4 linked regions of the Drosophila melanogaster genome follow. The protein of the gene in region 3 interacts with the protein of the main gene of each other region in a pairwise test. Each region holds a gene or a part of one and is shown on either strand. Other genes may lie near its edges.

Evidence for each region.
Region 1: the proteins of Pdhb (region 3) and alc interact in a two-hybrid assay, tested with the Drosophila melanogaster proteins (one large-scale study listed by BioGRID).
Region 2: the proteins of Pdhb (region 3) and CG13280 interact in a two-hybrid assay, tested with the Drosophila melanogaster proteins (one large-scale study listed by BioGRID).
Region 4: the proteins of Pdhb (region 3) and knrl interact in a two-hybrid assay, tested with the Drosophila melanogaster proteins (one large-scale study listed by BioGRID).

The regions. Positions count from the first base shown.
Region 1 is NT_033778.4:9,134,872-9,139,734, forward strand, and holds alc (alicorn), read right to left. Parts: upstream 3,063-4,863; 5' UTR 2,729-3,062; coding exon 2,081-2,728; intron 1,125-2,080; coding exon 894-1,124; intron 835-893; coding exon 688-834; 3' UTR 504-687; downstream 1-503. Other genes in the region: Hydr1 (alpha/beta hydrolase 1), read left to right, coding at 1-182.
Region 2 is NT_033779.5:16,818,068-16,823,087, forward strand, and holds the start of CG13280 (uncharacterized protein), read right to left. Parts: upstream 3,027-5,020; 5' UTR 2,940-3,026; coding exon 2,876-2,939; intron 2,864-2,875; coding exon of another isoform or gene 2,811-2,863; intron 2,743-2,810; coding exon of another isoform or gene 2,651-2,742; intron 2,593-2,650; coding exon of another isoform or gene 2,464-2,592; intron 2,409-2,463; coding exon of another isoform or gene 2,056-2,408; exon of another isoform or gene 2,045-2,055; intron 1-2,044. Other genes in the region: mdy (midway), read left to right, coding at 2,056-2,408, 2,464-2,592, 2,651-2,742, 2,811-2,863; Cse1 (chromosome segregation 1), read right to left, coding at 3,257-3,994, 4,068-4,368, 4,425-4,581, 4,647-4,949, 5,018-5,020.
Region 3 is NT_033777.3:29,111,229-29,116,697, reverse strand, and holds Pdhb (pyruvate dehydrogenase E1 beta subunit), read right to left. Parts: upstream 3,628-5,469; 5' UTR 3,558-3,627; exon of another isoform or gene 3,490-3,557; 5' UTR 3,441-3,489; coding exon 3,249-3,440; intron 2,705-3,248; coding exon 2,543-2,704; intron 2,270-2,542; coding exon of another isoform or gene 1,802-2,269; exon of another isoform or gene 1,752-1,801; intron 1,605-1,751; coding exon 1,193-1,604; intron 1,132-1,192; coding exon 1,012-1,131; intron 951-1,011; coding exon 739-950; 3' UTR 501-738; downstream 1-500. Other genes in the region: Atg14 (Autophagy-related 14), read right to left, coding at 1-230; alpha-Man-Ib (alpha-Mannosidase class I b), read left to right, coding at 4,201-4,287, 4,385-4,657, 4,826-5,339, 5,423-5,469. UniProt on the Drosophila melanogaster protein: The pyruvate dehydrogenase complex catalyzes the overall conversion of pyruvate to acetyl-CoA and CO(2). Might play a role in regulating synapse structure formation at neuromuscular junctions. Might play a role in maintenance of mitochondrial morphology.
Region 4 is NT_037436.4:20,617,621-20,622,461, forward strand, and holds the start of knrl (knirps-like), read right to left. Parts: upstream 3,040-4,841; 5' UTR 2,122-3,039; intron 1-2,121.

The sequences.
Region 1 (4,863 bases), on a different chromosome or scaffold from region 3:
TCTTCACGGAGTACTTCACCAAGGCGCTGTTCGACGAGGATGGCGAGTTCCAGCACACGGCCAACAAGATGCACGAGCGATTCTTGGCCAAGCAGACGGTGGCGCTGGCCTCCTCGTCACCGGTGCTGTTCGCCAAGAAGATCGACGCCGATCAGTTGGACCACAAGGTCAAGCTGATGTGAAGCTGGTCGGTCGGTCGGTCGGTCGGTCGGTCCGCTAGTCTAGTTCAGTTTTTGTCCAGTTGAACACGTAGATATACGAGAATGTTTGTATTCCGATAGATTGCCGTCGGCGAAGACTCTTGTACACATGTGATATGAAACGTTGATCAAAATCCAAAGTGTTGTTATACTTATATACAGCGAACAGGGAACCAAATTATCAGTCAGTCAATATGCATAGTTGCTTAAATTACTCTTAGATCGTGACTTTAGTGACATATCAGGTTGAAATTGCAAATAAGCTGTACGATTCGTAGTAAATTCAAATACAAATTACAAATTATGACACAATGCAATAATCTTATATTTTTACAAGTTCCGTATATTTATAACTAATAAAAATACAACGCTTAATAGAGAGAAAACTAAAACACTTTTACTCATAATAAGGTAAATTTGACAAGCGGGACGTGGTATCCCTCATAAAAACCATGTTCCTACAGCTAAAATACCAATTGCGAGTTGCCTAAATGGGCTTGTACAGCAGCGTGGTGACGTACTTCTTGCGATACCTGTGCGTGGCACTCAGGACCATGACGCCATCCTTGATAGACAGGGCGTACAAGTGGTTAAGCATCACGTGGTTGGGTTCCGGCAGCAGAGTGGGTTCACACTGAAACAGAATAGGGTAAGGTTACGGTCGGTAGCTCTCGAGACAGCGACAATACCCACCGATAGCGGTGTATCCTTGTTGAGGATGACCTGGAGCAGATGGGGCGGCAGAACGGGCGGGCCAGATACCTTCTCCCAGGGCTTCACCTGCGGCACCTCCTGCGAGTACTCCTTCTCCGCATAGTTGGTCACGTTCTCGCTGTCTTTGGCTAGGGCCTGGAACACCTCGAAATCGGATTCTCGCACGGACACTAAGTTATTTCTCTGTCCCTCGGCGTTCTCCACGCTTTTCTAAAATAGCAAACCGATAAGCTATAATCAAATTGTCTGTAACAATAGTTTGGGCAATTGGGACAATATCTGCAGGCCTCGGGTTGAGTTCAATAAAACTCATGAAACTTGATAGCTGAGTTTGCGATAAAACAAAAATTGGGCAATACTTCATGAAAATGTGGCTGGGCAATGACTGCTTTCTATAATTAATAACGTACTGTTGCTACTTGTTTCGAGCAATTTTGAATTATATACAACAATTTGGCTTGCTACATATATATATAATACAAAAATTTGTTCAATGGTTTGCTTTCGTTTTGCTTACTAATTTAAATGTCAGATAAACTACATTATTTATTAGTCATTAAAACCATTATGGTTTAAATACGTGAGCTTCGTGAACTATTCTTAATAAAGATTTAAAGTCTGTGCATTTAGTAATTCATTTCTGATTGCTTTTCGTCTTCATGCAATTCTGCAACTATTTTAACATTGCGAAGTAGGTCATATATTCTATCACAGTCCTGAACTTTGTTATCCAGAAAAATATTTTATCTAAGAAAACGTTACTATTCCCTTAAATCTTTTCTATAGTTCAAATTGTTCGCCTGATAGCAATGTTCAATGGTCACTTAGATAAACTGTGTCCACAAAACTAGCGACATCCAACCGGATTTAGTAGTAATCTACAAATGGGTTTTATCGCAGTTTGCTCCCTTAAACTTGTAACTTTAATTGCATTTGTTATTTGCGAAGCATTTGAACGGGGTTCCTCAAAAAAAAAACAAAAAAAAAGCTAAAGCCGGATGAGCATCTCTGAACCCAATTGAAATCCACTACGATTACTGGGAGACTTCGTTTTGTTTACGGCGATTACACAACCCGGGGCGAAAATCGGTAACTGCGTCATTCGGGCGCCCGAATCAAAAACACTGAATAGCCTGCTGCATATATTGATTTTCCGCCCAACTGACCAGCTTGGGATCGTGCTTCCACTCGCCGTCCACGCAGAACTTGTACTGATGGTCGCCCTCCGGCAGATCTATGATGGTCACGAAGTTCTGATGGCTGCGCACCATGGCCATGGGCTTCCAATCGGAGAATGTGCCCGAGATGGTGACGTTCTTGCCGCCGCCGTCCCACCGCAGAACTGTGGGCAGTGCCGTCTTCCGGATGTCGTCCTCATCGCCGGTTAACTGAGATCCAGTCGCTGGCTCCGCTCCTACCGCTGCCTCCTCCTCCTCCTCGTTGTTGTCCATGCTGGAGTGGTCTCGGGTAACAGCTGATGTCGCGTCGTCGTGTGCGGTGCCTCGTCTAGTGGATCCAGTTCCAGTTCCCGTGTAGTACGGGTCGTCGTCTTCTTGCGACGAGCCCTCGTTCAAGACTGCCGTATGTTTTTTGTCGAACGAGAAAGCTTGGCCTCCGCCGCCTCCTCCTCCACCCCCCGCAGCTCCCACCGCCCCCGCTGCAGCGCCCAGAGCTGCTGCGCCAGCACTCCCGCCCTGTCCCGCTCCTCCTCCACCAATCGAATCGCGGAAATGTGCGGGAGAGCTCGGCGTGGACAAGTCGGTCGACTTGTGGCGCTCGCGTTGCATGTGCACGGAGGAGCTGGCGTTGCCCATGCTTATTGCCGTACTCGCTGGCTCGTCGGCAGGTCACGGACCGAGTATAATGATTGGATTTGGACTGGGTTCGACTGCTCCCTTTGTTTGGCACTTTATACTTCGCTTTAAAATGGACTCGCGTTTTTCGTTGGATTACTCTAGTACTCTGATCACATCACCGTTCGTGGCTCGAAGTCTGTGTGTTGTATTTGGCATTTAGTAGGCAGAAAACTGCATTATTTAATCGTTTGTTTCGTAGAAAAATTGCTAATTATAAACATTTACATATATACACAGGCAGTATATTCGCAGTTCCAATTGGCGAGAGCACACGCAGGGTTGCTTTCCCGTGAGTTCAAAACAAAGAAGTTATCGGGCGACAGCACACAGTGTGCCGCCCTGGTCTTAGCAGCTGTGACCGTTATCGGAGCTGCCACTCGATTTGAATTTATAGTTAGGTTGAATGTTCTGAAAATTAAAGTGTCATGGGTTTCCAGCACCTTCAGAAAGTTAAGATTACGTGGAATTAGATTAAAGTGGCAGCCACTCATTAAAGATTTTTAAATTCATAGCAACATTCTTTCAATTCTTATCATTTCAAGACAATAGATTGCATCGGTGAATTGCTTGAGTTTAATCACTATCCCAAAGCTATCAACCAATTAATAAATAGGTTAATGAATCATACAATTTATCTATTTATTTATGAATTCAACAGAATTAATTCCACTGAATTATCGGCTGACAAATCCAGATTAAACGGGTAAAGAGTGCTTTCCTAGTCGACTATATTCCTGTAAATGCGTAAAACGAGCATTACAACAGCGGAAAACTGAGGGTGCAAAGTCCACGACAATCAACATGCATCGGAGCACAATAAAAAGGCAAAAGTGGAAAGGAAGACTAGGCAAGACCGAGAAGAGTGACAAAGAGCGAGGGCGGAAGTGCGGCGAGGACAAGGCTGATCTGCGATGAACACCAGGTAGAAGGTAAGTGTATCCACCGCACAGATTTAGCCAAAACAGTCCAAAACATATGTATGAAAGCAACTAAAAGAAACGGCGATCAAAACAAACAAATGTTTGGTACCAGTGTACCACAGATGTAGAAACCAGACGCTTTCCAGACTATGGCAGCACCCCAAGAAACTCTTGGAAATACTACTCATTGCTACACCGCACATATGACGTACACTTGGAGAAACAAGCACATTCCAAACAATGCGTATGTACCTAGTTATTTCATTACAAGGAATTGAATTTAATGTACCCAAAGTTAAGCAGTAGCATTTAGTATTTATGTTTTCTGGATATATTAACTGAATGAATAGGAAACTTGTACCTAAATCCATTTCAGATCCGTGCCATTTCTTCCAGTGCACGAGCGGCTTTCCCATGTGTGTGTGCTGCGTGGTAGCCACTCACACAGCGGCAAAACACGACGCCTTCGCATTTAAAATTGATTAAAACTAAAAACACTCGATGCCGACGCCGTGCCTTGTTTCGTTTTCAGTGCGATCGCAGACATTGTGCAAAACGGTTCACAGTTCTCTCCTCGCGACTGCAGGTGATCGAGTTTTTTTCGTTTGAGTGCACTAAAAAAAAACAGAGCAAGCGCAGCAACTGGAGTTGGAGTGAAGCCCCAGGAGTCACGTCCCTTTCGAAGTCGAGTGAACTAAGCATTTAAGGTAGGTCAGTTGGATGGTTGGCTACAATGGGTTGACCTCGCCCGGTTATTAGTCTCGGTTCACTTTGCATTTGGTGCTCTTCAAGGTCCGCAGCCCGCTTATCTGGCCACGTCCGACTAACCCATTGATCGGAGCCCAGAAGGCCCGGCGGAGTCCCAAACAACTTAACTATTTCCCATGGCTCCCGAGGGCGGCGCGTGTTTGCGCCGATTCTCGACCACGTTATCAGCGATCTGCTTAGCCAGTGAACTGTTCTGAACTGCTAATTGATAATATGTATGCGGCAACACCTACATATGTACATACGTATGTGTATACTTACATATTTAGATTCGAGTTGAAACTGCGTCGCATTTGCCACTTAGTTGCCGTTTTCCCAAAGCCTGTTTGATCAGCCTACTCTTCACACATACTCCCCTCCGGATGAAGCACAAAGAGCCTCCATCGGTGAAAAAAAAAAACAAGT
Region 2 (5,020 bases), on a different chromosome or scaffold from region 3:
AATCTACTTGAGTTACTGACCTACTTTTATCATCGCTATGGAAAGTTCTTCCTTATAAAGCCGCAACCGGTTCCGACAGTAATTATCCGTCCTACATGGACAACTAAAATGTTTGGAATATTTTCACCATTTTAAGTTCGCCCTAGGGCAGAGCACAAAATAAAGATCAACAGTGCTCAATAAATAGACGAAACTTTTCCAAGATCCATTATCATTCTGCTGCAGTTACCGCTGTACCGCCCCCACCTTCGATTGTTTAAATATAAACCGAAAGTTCAACAAACTAATCGTCAAACCGCAGAGAGCATTCAATTCAGGTTCGGTTTCCACATGCGGGTTGTATATGTGTGTTCTTACATATCTATTCAAACAGCAGAGGTCACAATTGTAGCGCATTTATAAATATATAACTCAAATGAAGCTAGACGTTGAAATATACATTTTTAATAAGAACCCACAATGAGTCGACTTTGCTTTCTTCTTTTACCTTGCACTTCAAAATATCTCTACAGTTCTATCCTGATTAACTTATTTGCACGGATTTATAATATGTATATTAATGGGTGCATATAATGCAATCTCTCTTTGAATGCTTCATGTACATCTCGGACTGCCTCGGTCCTCGATGCCTGTAAATTACTCATCATTCGGTTGATGGGCCATAACGAGCTCCGACTTGAAGTTCTGAATGACGTTGCGTCACGGTGACTCGACTGAAATCGTACTGAACTCCCCATGAACGAACATATGAGATTGGAGTATATGTCTTTGTTGCACTTGGATCAGTTCAACGCACTGAATAATTATGTAAAACTTTGTGTTTTCCGCCAGTGGAATACTAAATACACGCTGCGAGACAAAAATTGCTAAAATTCTTCATCTGTCCTTTTTTCAAAACCATAAATTATTTCAATCCTGAACTCGAATCGTATACATTACAACTTTCAAAAGCCATTACTGAAAAGGTTGGCATCCACGATCACTTAAATTGATTTTTCGGTTCATTAGCGATAAGCAGCGATAGTGATCGAACTTTGATGTCAAATAAACAAGGTATCAACAAACTACTCGCATAAAACAATTAGGTAAAAATGGTTGCCTTCGTAACATGACGTAGATTTTGTTACCTAAGATATCTTTTCAACAGATAACACACACAAATTTCGTCATTAATTTTAGTTGCATACATATATGTAGGTATTTCACTGATTTATAAATATTAAATAATTGCTGAGACAACAATTTCCTAATCGTATCTTGCTACTCGTTGTTTAACAAAAACAAGTTACGTGAACGCAAATCTATAACTTGAATCGCATTTGTATTCAAAAATAGAATCTGCACATATCAACCGTTTATTTGTTGATGATTCTTGAGTTCTATACAATTTTCATTGCAAAAGGTGGATGTGGATTTGAAACTTTGAGGCTTAACGGCGATAATGCCCTCCCATTTGGTTGACATGCGATCTTGACTGTGGGAGCTAATGTCAAGTACGATCGTAGCAGCTTTACAACTGGTTTTAAACGATTTAAGTGAGAAGCTGTTGGCTTAACCACATTATCAAATGCGGGCTCAATGTCTATGCAAATCGGTATCTGATTACTCAATCAGCAATCTCTCAGTCAGCTGAACTTTGACCTCAAGCCGCATTTTGCTTCTGGTTTTGTATGGATCTATTTATTCTCTAACATACATATAGCTCTGTTTACTAATAAACTAATATATGACCAGCTTCAGCAAGTAATAAAACGATTTTCATAAATAAAAAACAAGATATGTGCTTAAGACATCTTATTACTTAATTACCCTCATTATTTCTTATCTCAGTTGCGTATTTATTCAATAGATAAGCGACTCTGAAAATGCCTCCACTGTTTACAACCTCCTGGGATCCCATCTGAGTTATTTGTGTGTCAAAATAAAAGCACTCAAACATTTTATAAGGGGTACCAAAACAAATCTTATCTTTGCATTTCAACTGCAAACGGAATTTGCGATAAGCTAGAAGTAATCACTATAAATTGAAATTCTTTCAATATAGAGACCATCACCATGACCACCAATAAGGATCCCCAAGATAAGGAGCCCGGGAAAGCAGAACAACCGACCAAGAATAGCGGATCCAGCGGTGTGGGTATCATGAAGCGCTTGAGAAGATCGGCGTCCGCCACAGAGCATAATCTTAGCAGTCTGCGAAACCGCAAGTCAACACAAAATCTATTCGATCAGCACGGGAATCCCATAGATCTGCGACAGTATCGTAAAGTTTTGGATAAGGATGAAAATGGTAATGGAACCAACGGATCCGAGAAGAAGCTTAGATACAGGAGAACACAAAGTGTGACTCGTGCTGAGGAGATTTCCAATAAAGAGGAGAAGCAGAGAAGAGCTCAGCCTGGCAGACCGTAAGTAGGGAAATTAAACTACTTTAGCCCAAATACAGGGTTTCGCCTCTTTTAGAATCCATCGGCCAAGAGATTCTCTGTTTTCTTGGAGCTCTGGATTTACCAATTTTTCTGGACTGGTGAACTGGGGATTTCTACTGCTCTGCATTGGAGGTCTGCGTTTGGGCTTGGAGAATCTCCTAAAGTAACTACGATGATCTTGAGTAGAAATACAAGTTTTAGCTAATTCATTATTTTTTTAGGTATGGCATTCGCATCAATCCACTGGATTGGTTCTTCTTCATAAGCGGACACAACGAAGGCGAAGGACATAACGCCCTAATCCTGAGCATTTGTAAGCACGCACAAAATCAAGGATTACGCAAACGAAATTGATAACCTTCGTCTCACCATATTTTACAGACTCTTTAGTGCATATCTCGCTCTGTTTGGCTGTGGAGAAGGGTCTAGCCATGGTAAGTACTTACTTTGATAGCATCTCACGCCTATTTTCTTCGATCGTGACTTGAAATACGTTATTAGCTTGAACATGGCTTATATGATAAATTTCGAAATATCTAGTTAATTCTAAATTCACAATTTTGAAATTGAGTGAAGGGTGTTTGACAAGAAATGATTTGTTTATCAGAGAGAAAAGTATGAAATATTCAGAAGTTATCGCAGTTGAAACACACTAGTTTCGGAAAACATAATTTTTAATTGTTTACAAAACTTACATATATTAGATACAATTTTTAAATGACAATAAACTGGGCATGCAATGAGTGATCGAGTGCGTGTATGCATAAATTTTCGAATGTATGGCGAGGTTTGATTGCGATGAATGAGCTTAAAGTCGGTCGATTCCTTTAGGCAATGCGTACTCCAGCCTGATCACAATATTTCTGGAGTACTTGCTTGTACTCCGGCTCCAGGGGCGACAACAAAGTGGAAAATTCTCCTGCCCTAGCCTGGGCAAACTTAGAGAGCGAAGTTGCTAGAAACTGGCGAGCATCCTTAATCTCAGCCAGGTGATCCTGCTGGTTGGGCTGGGCATGAGTCAGTTGGGCAAATGCCACTTGATAGCCCGCATCGGGATCTTCGGCAACTCCAGCTGTCTCTCCTATTTCGAGACCCATCAATTTCTCTGGTGGTCGTTCAAAAAGATCGATTAGAGAATGCAGCAGTCGTGGCCAGAAAGTAGCGTACTGTTGCTGCAATATCTCAGGAGTTTCTGTAAGTAGCTTAGTGACACCCACGGCCACCATTTTGCGATCCTGTTCCTTGGGAATCTTGCCCATTTCGGTGATAAACACGCGGTCCAGCAGCATGCCAAATAGGTTAGGCTGAATCTCATCTATCAATTGAGCCATCTGACTGCCACTGAACTTAATCACATAAAAGCTAAAGAAGATAATGATGCCGCTTAAATACTTCGGAGTCTTTGAGAGAGACAATCGCTGGAAGAGCAGGCCAAAGATCTGACGAAGATTAGTTTGAATCTCAGCGGGAGGGTAGTAGGAAAGCAGATTCTGGAGAAGATAAAACCCTTCATGGTCATTAGCCTTGGAGGCAATCATCTTTTGGAATATTCCGAGGATACCGCTCTGAAATATATGTTGAAAAATGCATAAGATTGGACTCTGTAAAATAAAATTTGTGATGTATAATATAACTTACCAGTTTACCCAAGGCTTGAATCTGAGCAGATCCCTGCTTGATGAAAGCAGAAATCAGGCGAATTAATGGTGTGACATTGCCCGTCCTGTCCCACAGAGCTGGTGACAACAAGCAGGGGAACAAAGCCCAATAGGGTTCCGGTATGGTACCAGTGCCCTCGCGCATTTCCAACAGCACAGAAAGCATCTGGAAGACGTAGGGCATAAATTCGACAATGTCCTGCTGTAAGATGCCCTGGAAAACTGGGAACAATGCCTCCTCAAAGGAGCTCACAGCCGAGGAATCGGCGTGACAAACAATTCTAGGGAAAAAGAAAATTTGTTATTGCTCTTTACCACCAAAATGCATAACACTTACTTTATACACAGAGCCAGCGTTTCAAAAAGATAGTGGTTGAACTGCGGACGCGATGGATTCTTGGCCACTTGGGTGAGAATCTCGGTAAGCCGTGGAAGGGCGACGCCCATAAAGGGCATGGCGGCCGATTGCAAGACCGAAAAACTTCGCATAATGGCTAATAATAATAATTAGAGTTTTGTTAACATATTAGAAACGTATGAGATAGTCCCCCAAACTCACCTTTCATTACGTACTCATTTTCACCGGAACCTGGGAGTGAAAGGGTCGCAAATAACCCACTAATTAGTTCAGTTGTGTAAGGTGCTAAAATCTGAGGACCAAAAACGATCGCGTTGCTAGCATCCCGCATAGAAAGGATCTTCTCCACTGAACAAGCAGCATAGCTATGAACAACAGAGCTTTCGGCGGGGAGATGTCGAATTAGCTGGGGCAGGCAGCTTGCTAAGACTTGGGGACCCAAAATGCTGCGGAACACCATTACATACTTAATTGCAGCAGCCTTAAGAACAGGAAACTCGTTAACTGCAAAGAGCATTGGAAGAATGCAGATATAAGATGATCGAATTGGGAAAATGGTTATTTGGGCTTACTGT
Region 3 (5,469 bases):
CTGCAGCTGTGGCACAGTGGGCACCGCATGTGGGCACCCATTCCCGTGGTGGCGTTCCTATCCTTGGCGTTCGCATCCTTCAACAGTTCCTTCGTCGCTGCCGTTGGCCTGCGCTTTGTTGTGTATCCTGCGACATCTGATTCCTCGTCCTCGCCGTTTGTGGAGGCGCTCGAGATGCGAAAGTTGTCGGGGGCCTTGCAGCTTTCGTCGGAGCTGGAGCTGTTTGCCATTACAGCCAAAGCATTGCAATTATTTGTTATGTTATATCTTTTGTTATTGTTAACTTTGCTATTATCGCTATCGATATGAGGACACCTATTGCTAAACGATAGGCTGATATCGAAAAAATAGATGTCGTCAGTGTTGGACAGCGTTCAATAGGAAAACGTTTTCATCGGTGCGCGCACTTTTTAAACTTCAATCATTAACGATAAGAATTATATATTTTTTATCTTCTGATATTATATCATTAACTATACCAAAATATAAGCACTCAAAATGTATTTATGTTTTCGTTTATTTTTCACAAGAGATTTCTATAACCAAATAATTAAACTAGAACGTCCGAAAACTAATCAAAACCCGAAAGCGGTAGTGCTTTATTTTCAGAACATTCAATTTCCAGTTCGGTGCACTATTATGGGGGCAGCTCGGTTAGACCAGAGGCAGCGTTTCGACTTGGACTATAAATTTAGTTAGCTGGGGGTTCCGATCGGGAGGCTGGCTAGTCCTGAGTTCCTACTTGTTGGCCGCAGCGGCCTTGCCCACTTTGCCACCCAAGACCTTAAGAGTCGCCTCCACGAGATCCTGAACGCGGGGCAGGGCGTGGGCCTCCAGCGTCTTGGCATAGGGCATGGGCACATCCACGCCGGCGCAGCGCCATACGGGGGCGTCCAGCTCGAAGAAGGTCTGGTCCTCCATTATGCGGGCGCAGATCTCAGCTCCAACGCCTAAGAGGGTAAAAATTTATAAATATCGCTAGGCTTTCAATTAGCTGAATTTCCCACTCACCGTGTTGGGGCCAGCCGTTCTCCACGGTCACCAGATGGTGGGTCTTTCGTACAGAGGCGAAGATGGTCGCCGTGTCCAGAGGACGAATGGAGCGCAGGTTAATGACCTCAGCCTCAATACCTAAACATATAAGAGAAGGTTAGCTACTTTTCGCGTCATTCAAAGTAAAACAGTGCCGTACCCTTCTTGGCCAGCTCGGCAGCTGCCAGAAGCGATGTCTCCACCGCCTTGGAATGCGCCACCAGGGTAATGTCCTTGCCCGGCCGCATTACCTTGGCCTTGCCGATGGGCACCAAGAAGTCCTTGTCGGCCACGTTATCGGCCACAGGGAATGCCGTGCCATAGACCAGCTCATTCTCCAGGAAGACCACTGGATCGGGATCACGGATTGCGGACTTCAACAGTCCGCGGGCATCCTCGGCATCGTATGGCGAAAGGACCTTCAGGCCGGGGCAGTGGGCGTACCAGGCGGCGAAGCACTGAGAGTGCTGGGCGGCAACACCGGAAGCGGCTCCATTGGGACCACGGAACACAATGGGCACATTGACGGCACCGGCAGACATGTAGAAGGTCTTGGCCGCCGAGTTGATGATCTAAGATTTGAAATTTTAAAGGGATATATTTTAGCAATCCATATTATTATGAATGTGTAATATGACTTAGAAATAATAAAGTGAAAAATGAATGAAAATAATGCTCAGTGTGGATGCCTGTTCCATCAAACTGCAAATTCGCCAATTCAAGTTAATACGCTTTATTTGATGCACTCCTTTCTGTTCCGTCTTGATCTTTACTTAATGCCTAGTTTCTGCTTAATGATAAATGCCGGCAGGCGGCGTCCCTTCCAGAAACGCGGCAGCGGCGTCTCGTTGGCCTGCCGCAGGATCTCCGCCACGTGCTGCTCCGCACTGAATGCCTCCGCCTGCTTGATCTGGGATATCAGCTTTGCTTGGAAGGCCTTCTCTTTGCGCATCTCGCGGCGCTGGCGCACCTTGGCCCACTCGAACTTCATCTTGCGACGCAGCTTCTTTAGCTTGTGCTTCTTCATCTTGCGCCGCCGAATGACGATGAGGCGGGCCGCCTCCATCTTGTCCGACTTGCTCTTGTCCAGCGGCGGCGCAATCACCTCGCCGACTCGATCTCTGTGCAGGATGTCGTTGATCTCATTCAGCCAAGTTGAGCGTGGACTTTCAATTATGAGGCTTATTGGCAGAGGGCGATCACCGACTGGCGGCTTGGCGCAATCGAGTATCTTTGCCTGCACATAATCGGATAATATGGGTGGGGATTAGTGAGGTCCGATCTATGACTTGGGGCAGGAGCTAATCCACCCATATTATCCCATTAAGCGCCGCTGCATATTGCACTTGAATTGGTCTATTTGCTAGCTGTTGGAGTTGTGAGGCATTTGTATTGGATTGTCGTGTTCTTTCTTTTGGTTTACGTTTTGTTGGCAATGAGATAATATGAGTAGTTAGCCTACTGCTGGAGTGCGGGGAGTGGTTCTTAGGACAAGGATGAGGCAACTCACGTGATCGATGGCCTGCATGGAGAAGTTCCAGGTCATGAACTCGCACACGGGACGCAGACCGGCCATGGCAGCGCCAACAGCGATGCCGGCAAAGCCCATCTCTGTGATTGGCGTGTCGATGACGCGCTTGTCGCCGTACTTCTTCCACAGTCCACGGGAAACCTAAAAAGGGCATTAAATGATTAATAGAATGTTAGGATACCAGAAAAATATGTAGGGCTTATTCAGGATGGGAACCTTTTATCTGTTTGTAAAACTTTCCAAGCTGATAACTCATTAACTAAGATTTCTTCAGGAAATACCATTATTCTAACAGGTAATTGTATTGTACTTTGCGTGTCCTATCTAGTTGTTACACCAGTAGCCACAATCATAGTTTAAATGAATCTAATAGGATAGAATTGCTAACGCCGGTTATCAATCCACCTCAAATGGGTAAACAAATCGTTGTTTTATGGGCCAATCTATATAATCAGCAGACAGTCGGTCACACATATTCTGCGTGACCTTGCCCACTCCGATCACGCATTCGGATTCGCGTCGACCTGTTCGGAATCACTATCAGTAGTTACATATAGCACGCATATATCACCCCGCTGACCACCAACTTCCCCCATCCCGGCCACCTGCATCAGCTGTCGTCGTCGCAACCGCCTGCTTGCTGTTTACGTAATCGCGCAGGGGCAGGAAAAGTCGCAGATCTCACCTTGTAAGCACCGTCGTACTGGGCCACCTCCTCGCCCAGGATGAAGACGCGGTCGTCGCGGGCCAGCTCATCGTCCAATGCGCTGTTGAGGGCATCTCGCACGGTCATCTGCTTGGCCGCCAGGGCCTTCTGGCTGGTGGAGAACGCTCGCTGGGCGGAGCTGGCCGCCTGGATGAGTCGGGTTCGGAGCATCGTCGGTTTGCGGTTCGCTTTCCTATGGGTCTATCGCTATCGTTGCCGGCTGTAGGTGTTATTTTTTGGGTTTTAAGTGCTATTATCTAACTAAAAATGGGCTATGGGTTTACGCACCGACTTCCGTCGAAATTTTGATGTGAAAATGGGATGTGACCAGATGTGACCACTTTAATGCCGTATTGTGGGCACACTTGGAGCTTACCAGGGCTGCCAAATAAATCACTGTTAAGTGGGACTAGTGTTGGCCACTCTAGATTTGGCTAAATTCATACTGTGTTAGCTGGATTTTCGAAAAAATTAGCCACTTCGTATTAATATATATTCTTTAGAAAAATTCTTTTATAAAGTAGTGATAATATCTAAAATATAATTTAATTTGCTTTTTTTTTATTTAAGAGGTATTTCAAAAGTAAATGATTGCTAGCCCCATCTTTAGTTTTGGCCGGACTGTTGAAGAACAAGTTGGCAGCATTGCAGCTCAAAAATGCAGCTCTCGTGAAATAATTTTAGAATTTCTTATTTGTAATTTTGCATAGTGTGGGCCAGAACTAGCATATATAAATTAATGCACTGGCACGTATAGAGATGATTAAGGCATAAAAGAGGTAGTAGTTGGACCAACCTTGGTTAGTTAGCTCCGATTCCTCCGCGGCCAGCGGCGCACAGCAATCGATTTTTATTCGAGGCGAATGCTGTGGAATTTCCCATCCAACTTTCCCACACTCTGAATTCCGGCGGCGGCATTTAGTGAAACACTATGAAGGACGGCGGTCACATAACGCTCACACTCCCGCCGGGATCAGCGGCGACGACGGACGAGCGGGGCAGGAAGAGCCTGCGTCGGGTAGGTAGCAACCTGGCAGAAGTCCAGTTGCTGGGGTCCTGGGACATCCTCAAGAAACCCAGAACTTATAAGTACGATCTTTTGTCTCACGGTTCAGGCTTGGAATCAGCTACCGCGTTGTCAGCGCAATCTCATTATTCTGGGCATCACCGGATTCTGCGTGACAGTGTTGCTCTGCCTAAGTGGCGATCAGCTGCTGGCTGCCAGCTTAAAGGATGTGGACACCAAGGCCGAGGTGGCAGCATATCAAATGCCCCTGCCCAATCCGCACCATCATCCGGGGGTGGATAAGGATGTGCCCAAAGACACTGCTGCGGTACCTGTTCCGGCCGATAAGAGAGCACCCCGGGTGGAGGCGGTTAGTGATAAGGTAAGTAGGCCCCCCACTTAATTGATAAGTGCCTAAGTGGCTGGAGTTGTTTGCCTATTAAGATAGCATGCGTATCAATACGATTGACTATTGGTGTTTGATTTATTGCCCACGCAGCACACTTCCAGTAAAATCTATTAATGATATCTCAATATCAATCAATTTCAGTTTAATGAGCTAGTTGCCTATGGAGAAGCGAACTCAGCGGAGAACGTGGCCCGTCTGCCGGAGACGGTGGCTGCTGAAGGACTTCCCCAGGCCTCGGCCATGGCCGTGGCCTTGCCTCCCCCCGATAGTAACAAGGAGCAGGACATCGGTGGAATCGACATCCTAAACAATGTAGAGGAGCCCGTCGCCCAGGATCCAGCAGAGCCGCTTAGCGAGGGCGAGCAGCTTGAGCAAGCCATCAAGAACCCACTCACTCTGGGCGGCGTTAGCTTCAAAGAGCATCTCAAAAAGATCAAGCCCATTCTGGCCAAGGGCCAGCACTTCCATGGCGCCACCAACGAAAGACAGTCGGCTGTTGTAGCCGCCTTCAAGCACTCCTGGGCTGGCTACAAGAAGTATGCCTGGGGCCACGACAACCTGAAGCCCATCTCCCAGTACTCCCACGAGTGGTTCGGTCTGGGACTAACCATTGTTGACTCATTGGATACCATGTACATAATGGGACTGGATGATGGTAAGTTGCCTATATCCTAATGTGCACAAAATCATTAGTTTATGGAAATACTTTCCTTATTTTTCTCAATAACATCTACACAGAATTCAAGGAAGGACGCGACTGGGTAGAGCAATCACTGCGCTTTGAT
Region 4 (4,841 bases), on a different chromosome or scaffold from region 3:
CCTCTAAATGGCTTGGTACTACTTATTATATGATCAGGTTATTCCAAAGGTGGGTCAATATCCCTGATATTTGATCTGCACTTGTTTAATCGAGCTTTTGCCTTAAACTGATTGAAGAATAGCTCCTAATCCGTTTGGTACTCTGACATTTAACCAAGCTGCCAGCTAATAATAATAATAACCATAGTAATATCATTATATATCGCGATGCAAATGCTGGCGGAACTGGGCTGCATAGCTGCACCTAAAAACGAACGACGAAGACAATCAGCTGCCTCACATCAGCGGCTCTCAAGAAGAACCCCGAGAACAGCTCCGTGAGTCACCTCGCATGGGGACCCACTTCTGGGCAGAAGACTCGGCCAGGTCGGATCCCCACCACCCGCCCCTCGCAGCGAGGAGGCATGTTAACTGACAACAGGTGTTTGCTGCTTGCCGTTTGTCTTGAAACCTTGCGGCCTGCTTGCCACATTTGCATTTGATATTTTGTATGCTTGTTTTCCTGCCACTGTTAACGCGTCCGCACTAAATACTTTCACACATTGCGCCCCCTTTCTGCTCTCCTTTGGCTTTTCCGGCCTGGGACTCGGGCCCCTTAAGGATGTGGACTGTTAAAGTCAGCACACGACCTTGATGTGTTAATTTCCCAGCCACTTCTGTCAGTCATCCGTCCGAGATACACTTTTACAATTGTGTTACAATAAAGGGAACTATCTGAAACTCTATACAATTGCACAATTGCAGATAATTTAAACATAGAAATTATCTTTATACCGTGTAAAAAATTGAAAGGATAGTTTAAGTATATGGATAATATTCTAAGTTTCCTTAATTTGTACTAAATCGTTGGGACTTCAGTGTAATATAATAATATCCAAATATCCAATTTTGCATTAGGTGCATACCTTTTTTTAGAGTGTTGGTCTAAGGAACAGCCTCAGGAAAGAGCTGTGATCTTAAAAGGTGCCAGCTAAATCAACCAGTGAAGAAGATTGCCCCAGCTAACTAGAATAAGTGCGCACTCTGCGATTTGTAGAACATGGCAAACTTACAAGGCACTCGCCATAAGTGCGAGTATATAGGTTCTGCCAATATTTGCGACACATGCAAAAGCAATCCAAGTTAGATTCTTCATTTGCCTGCAAGCGAGTCAGGGCAAAATGCACTTTAAAAAATTATCAGTTTTTTAGATACAAATCTTCTGAATTTCCAAAAATGAATGATCACTTTATTTCTAATTGAAAAGTCACTTCTTTGTAAATATAGTTAGATGATAGGCATTTCTCATTGATCAATAGAATATTATATAAATTATTATTTAAGCTGCAGCATCAAGCAAACTAAAATGTTCACAAATTTCCAGCTTGAATATTCTAAGAATTATTTTATCAAAATAATTATTTTTGATCCTTGATGGATTAGGCAGCACCACTTTCCATTTAGTTCCTTCGCTATTGAGCGCAATAATTTCTTTCAGTGCCGCAGTTAATGCCATTCCCATGGATTTCGCCTGCGTTTTCGAATTTTTGTAACAAATATTCTGGCAAATAAAGCTATACACGCTATTTGCATTATAAAGCAAACATGTGCGGCGACTATATCTGTGCAGGCCATCTCGCTCGCACTTGACTTACATTGATTCTGTTATATAGTCGTAAAGTTTATTTGCCTTGCCCTTGCATGGTTGTTGTTGTTGATCTAGCCATGTTTTATGGCCACACTAAAAAGTGCACTGGTCAACAAAGATCGGCCAGAGAAAACTTTCTCACAAAACCGTAGCTGGGGGCTATAGCTCCTACTGGGCTGTCGTATAAGTGTCATATAGGGGAGTGTGTATATGGTTTGTATAATTAAATCATACAAACCCCGCCGACAGTCGTAGACAGTTCGTCAGTTAGTCGGATTGTCAAGCGTTATCTGGCGTCGCCATCTTCATCTTGATTTTTTTTGTTTTATGAATTCTATTCGTTAATGAAATTCACATGTTCCCCATCTACAACTCCGAAGCCCCATCTCTATCCCCATTTTTATGTCCGCATGATGGATGTGTCTCAAAAAAGCCCGTTCGTTCCGTTTCTTCTATATTTTTTTTTGAGGGCGCCATTGAACCTTTGAACTTACCTGCTTTTACTGACCGATCAGCCTATCAAGTTAATCCAATTTATTTGCTTAGTGTTTCTATTTCGTTGCGCACTTAAGGTCTGCGTCTCCTAACATTGTGAACTTTCCGTTTAAGGTTTTGTGTATTTTCGTGTATTTGCTTGCTATTATTTTTTGTTCACCTTGCGCCAATAAAACGTCACTTGAGCGTATAGAGTTGTTGCTGTTTTTGCTCAAATTGCACTTGACTTTTAGAACTTTAGGCGAGCGTGAAGCATGTTTAATATATATCTTTTGGGTTGTTTGAGTATGTGTGTTTTTGCATATAGCAGGGTGTACATATATCACAAGGAGGCAATATTTTGTATAATTTTTATTGTAATACAAAGTTTTAAAGTTTTGCAGTATGGTTAAATTTTAATTTAGCTAGAGATATTTCCGTGGGACTTTATTTGGTGCTGTTTTTACGCCTTCTGTGTTTTGAATGCGAGTTTTTATGGAGTGACCACACCTTTGTGTGAGGGCACTCCTGGCTGCGCACGCGCACTTGCCGTAAATTTCTTTATTTCCGCTTTCGTTTGCCGCTTTTGAGTTTTTTTGCAGTGACGTGTTACAGACTGAACTCTACTATTTCAGTTGGCACTACATATACATATTCGTAGTATTGTTACAATTCATTTTATTTAACTGAGTAATTTTTTGATCTTAATTTGCATGTGTTGATTTTTAGCGGCGGCCAAAACAACGTAACGCCTGGGACGTAAGACGAAGACGACGCAACGACGACGGCGACGTGCGATCGAGCGTGCGAGCAAGAAGCGCGAGCTATCACTAAAGACTGATGTTAAGCAGTTCTGCAAAGTGCTCACACCGCTGCGACTCGGCGACTCAGATGCTTTGCAATATCATCCGACGAACGCTCGGTAGCACACTGAGCTGAGACTTCGGCTACCAGAGAAGTAGCAACAACAATATCTCTGGCCGGGGAGATGATACTACTATAAACAAAAACTACAAACTGGTCGAAGAAGCAGTAACAGAAACCGAAACAAAAACAAAAGACTGCAAAAGCGACAAACTCGAGCCCAGCTGGGGTGCGATTGTGTGTGTGAGGAAGAAGACGATTCCGATTCTCTCTAACGGTGATACACCCGAACTCTCAACCCCCAACCGAAAGACAACCAGGGAGAGAGAGAGCGAGAGTGAGACTTAAAAGAGCGACTTTGACTCAAATTGCCTGTCTGTGTGAGCCGCTGTTTGAGTGATGTTAACTCAAATCCGAGTCGATTCGGCTATTGAGTTGTATTCACAGATCAAGCTGAAACTGAGTAAATGCATATGAACATATATTAAAAACGTATAATTACTAACATAAATACGAACTATAACTATAGAAAAGGCACCAACAAATTTAGAAAAAAATGCATGTCGTGTTTGCAATATATATATAAATTGCACAGTTTATTTCTCGGTTAAGATATAATAATAAATTCCTAGTAACTGCGAACAAATATAAGTCGTTTAAGATGTAATCTAAGTCTATTTAGCGTGTTGTTTAATTTGACCAATCTTAAGTATTTCCTTTTTCTTTTTTCTACTTTATTTATAATCAATTTTATTCGTTAGATAAATATAATATAATTTAATAAATTTAACGATTGTTAAGGAACATAGTTTTGTTGATTTAGTGTCCAATGTTATATAACTGGGGAATATTTATGGCAAGCTGATCAAATGTGGTATATAGTAAATTAACAATATAACATACTTGATTAGTTCAAAAAAATAAGATACAATACAATATACAATATTTGCCTCCAAATACATCATTATTTTTCCAGTTGCTCACTTTGAATATTGCACTCGATTGTTTTTCTCAATCGCTCACCATTTTGTGCGGCTTTTGAGTGCTTCACTCACAGGGCACACACTCTCGTGAATATATCTACTCGAAGAATTCGTTACCACATTTGATTGGCTCGATTAACACAATCGGAGCACCGTTATATCCAGTATACTCACACAGACAACCGGTAAAGAGAGCGGCGTGCTCATGAGAGCGGAATCCACTAACACCAGCGCAAAACGGGATCGTGCTGCAGTCGTCGTCGGGTGTTTTAGATAAACGAGCCGATCCCGTTTGCCGTGGGCGAAAACGAGACCGGACTATAAGGCCATCTCCCGTGCATCGGGCGAGTTATATACCCGGCATATATGTTCTCGTTTCGCTGACCAATGCAGAGCAGCTGGCTGAGAGCTACCCATGCAAACGAGAGCGATCAATGAGAGCGATCACTCACACAGACGCATCCATCGAAATCGTATTAGCGGCTTGCCAGTGGGCGTGGTCTATCGATCGGGGAGTTTTAACCCACCACCCACCTCCCCTGAACTCAACAAAAGTCCATCGAACATTGCCCACTTCCAGCGATCTCGACTGAAAGTGCGAATGAGAGGGACTAAGTGTCTCCGAAAGAGAGGGGAGTACGTAAGACTCGAGTGATGGAGTTTTTCTAACGGTCTGCATCTAATTCCTCTTTTTTTTTGCATCTTCCACTAGTTTTTTCGCCCGTTTGGCAGTTGTCAAGCTGTCATAGTTTCGATCATTAAATGCGATATCTGTTGATAGCCATAAGACATTTTACGATATTACTAACATTGTTAGCTGGCGCCCCCTAGTGCGAAAGAGAGACAAACTCGCCGATCCGCAAGTTTCCAGATGCCGTCCGCGGGATTAATGT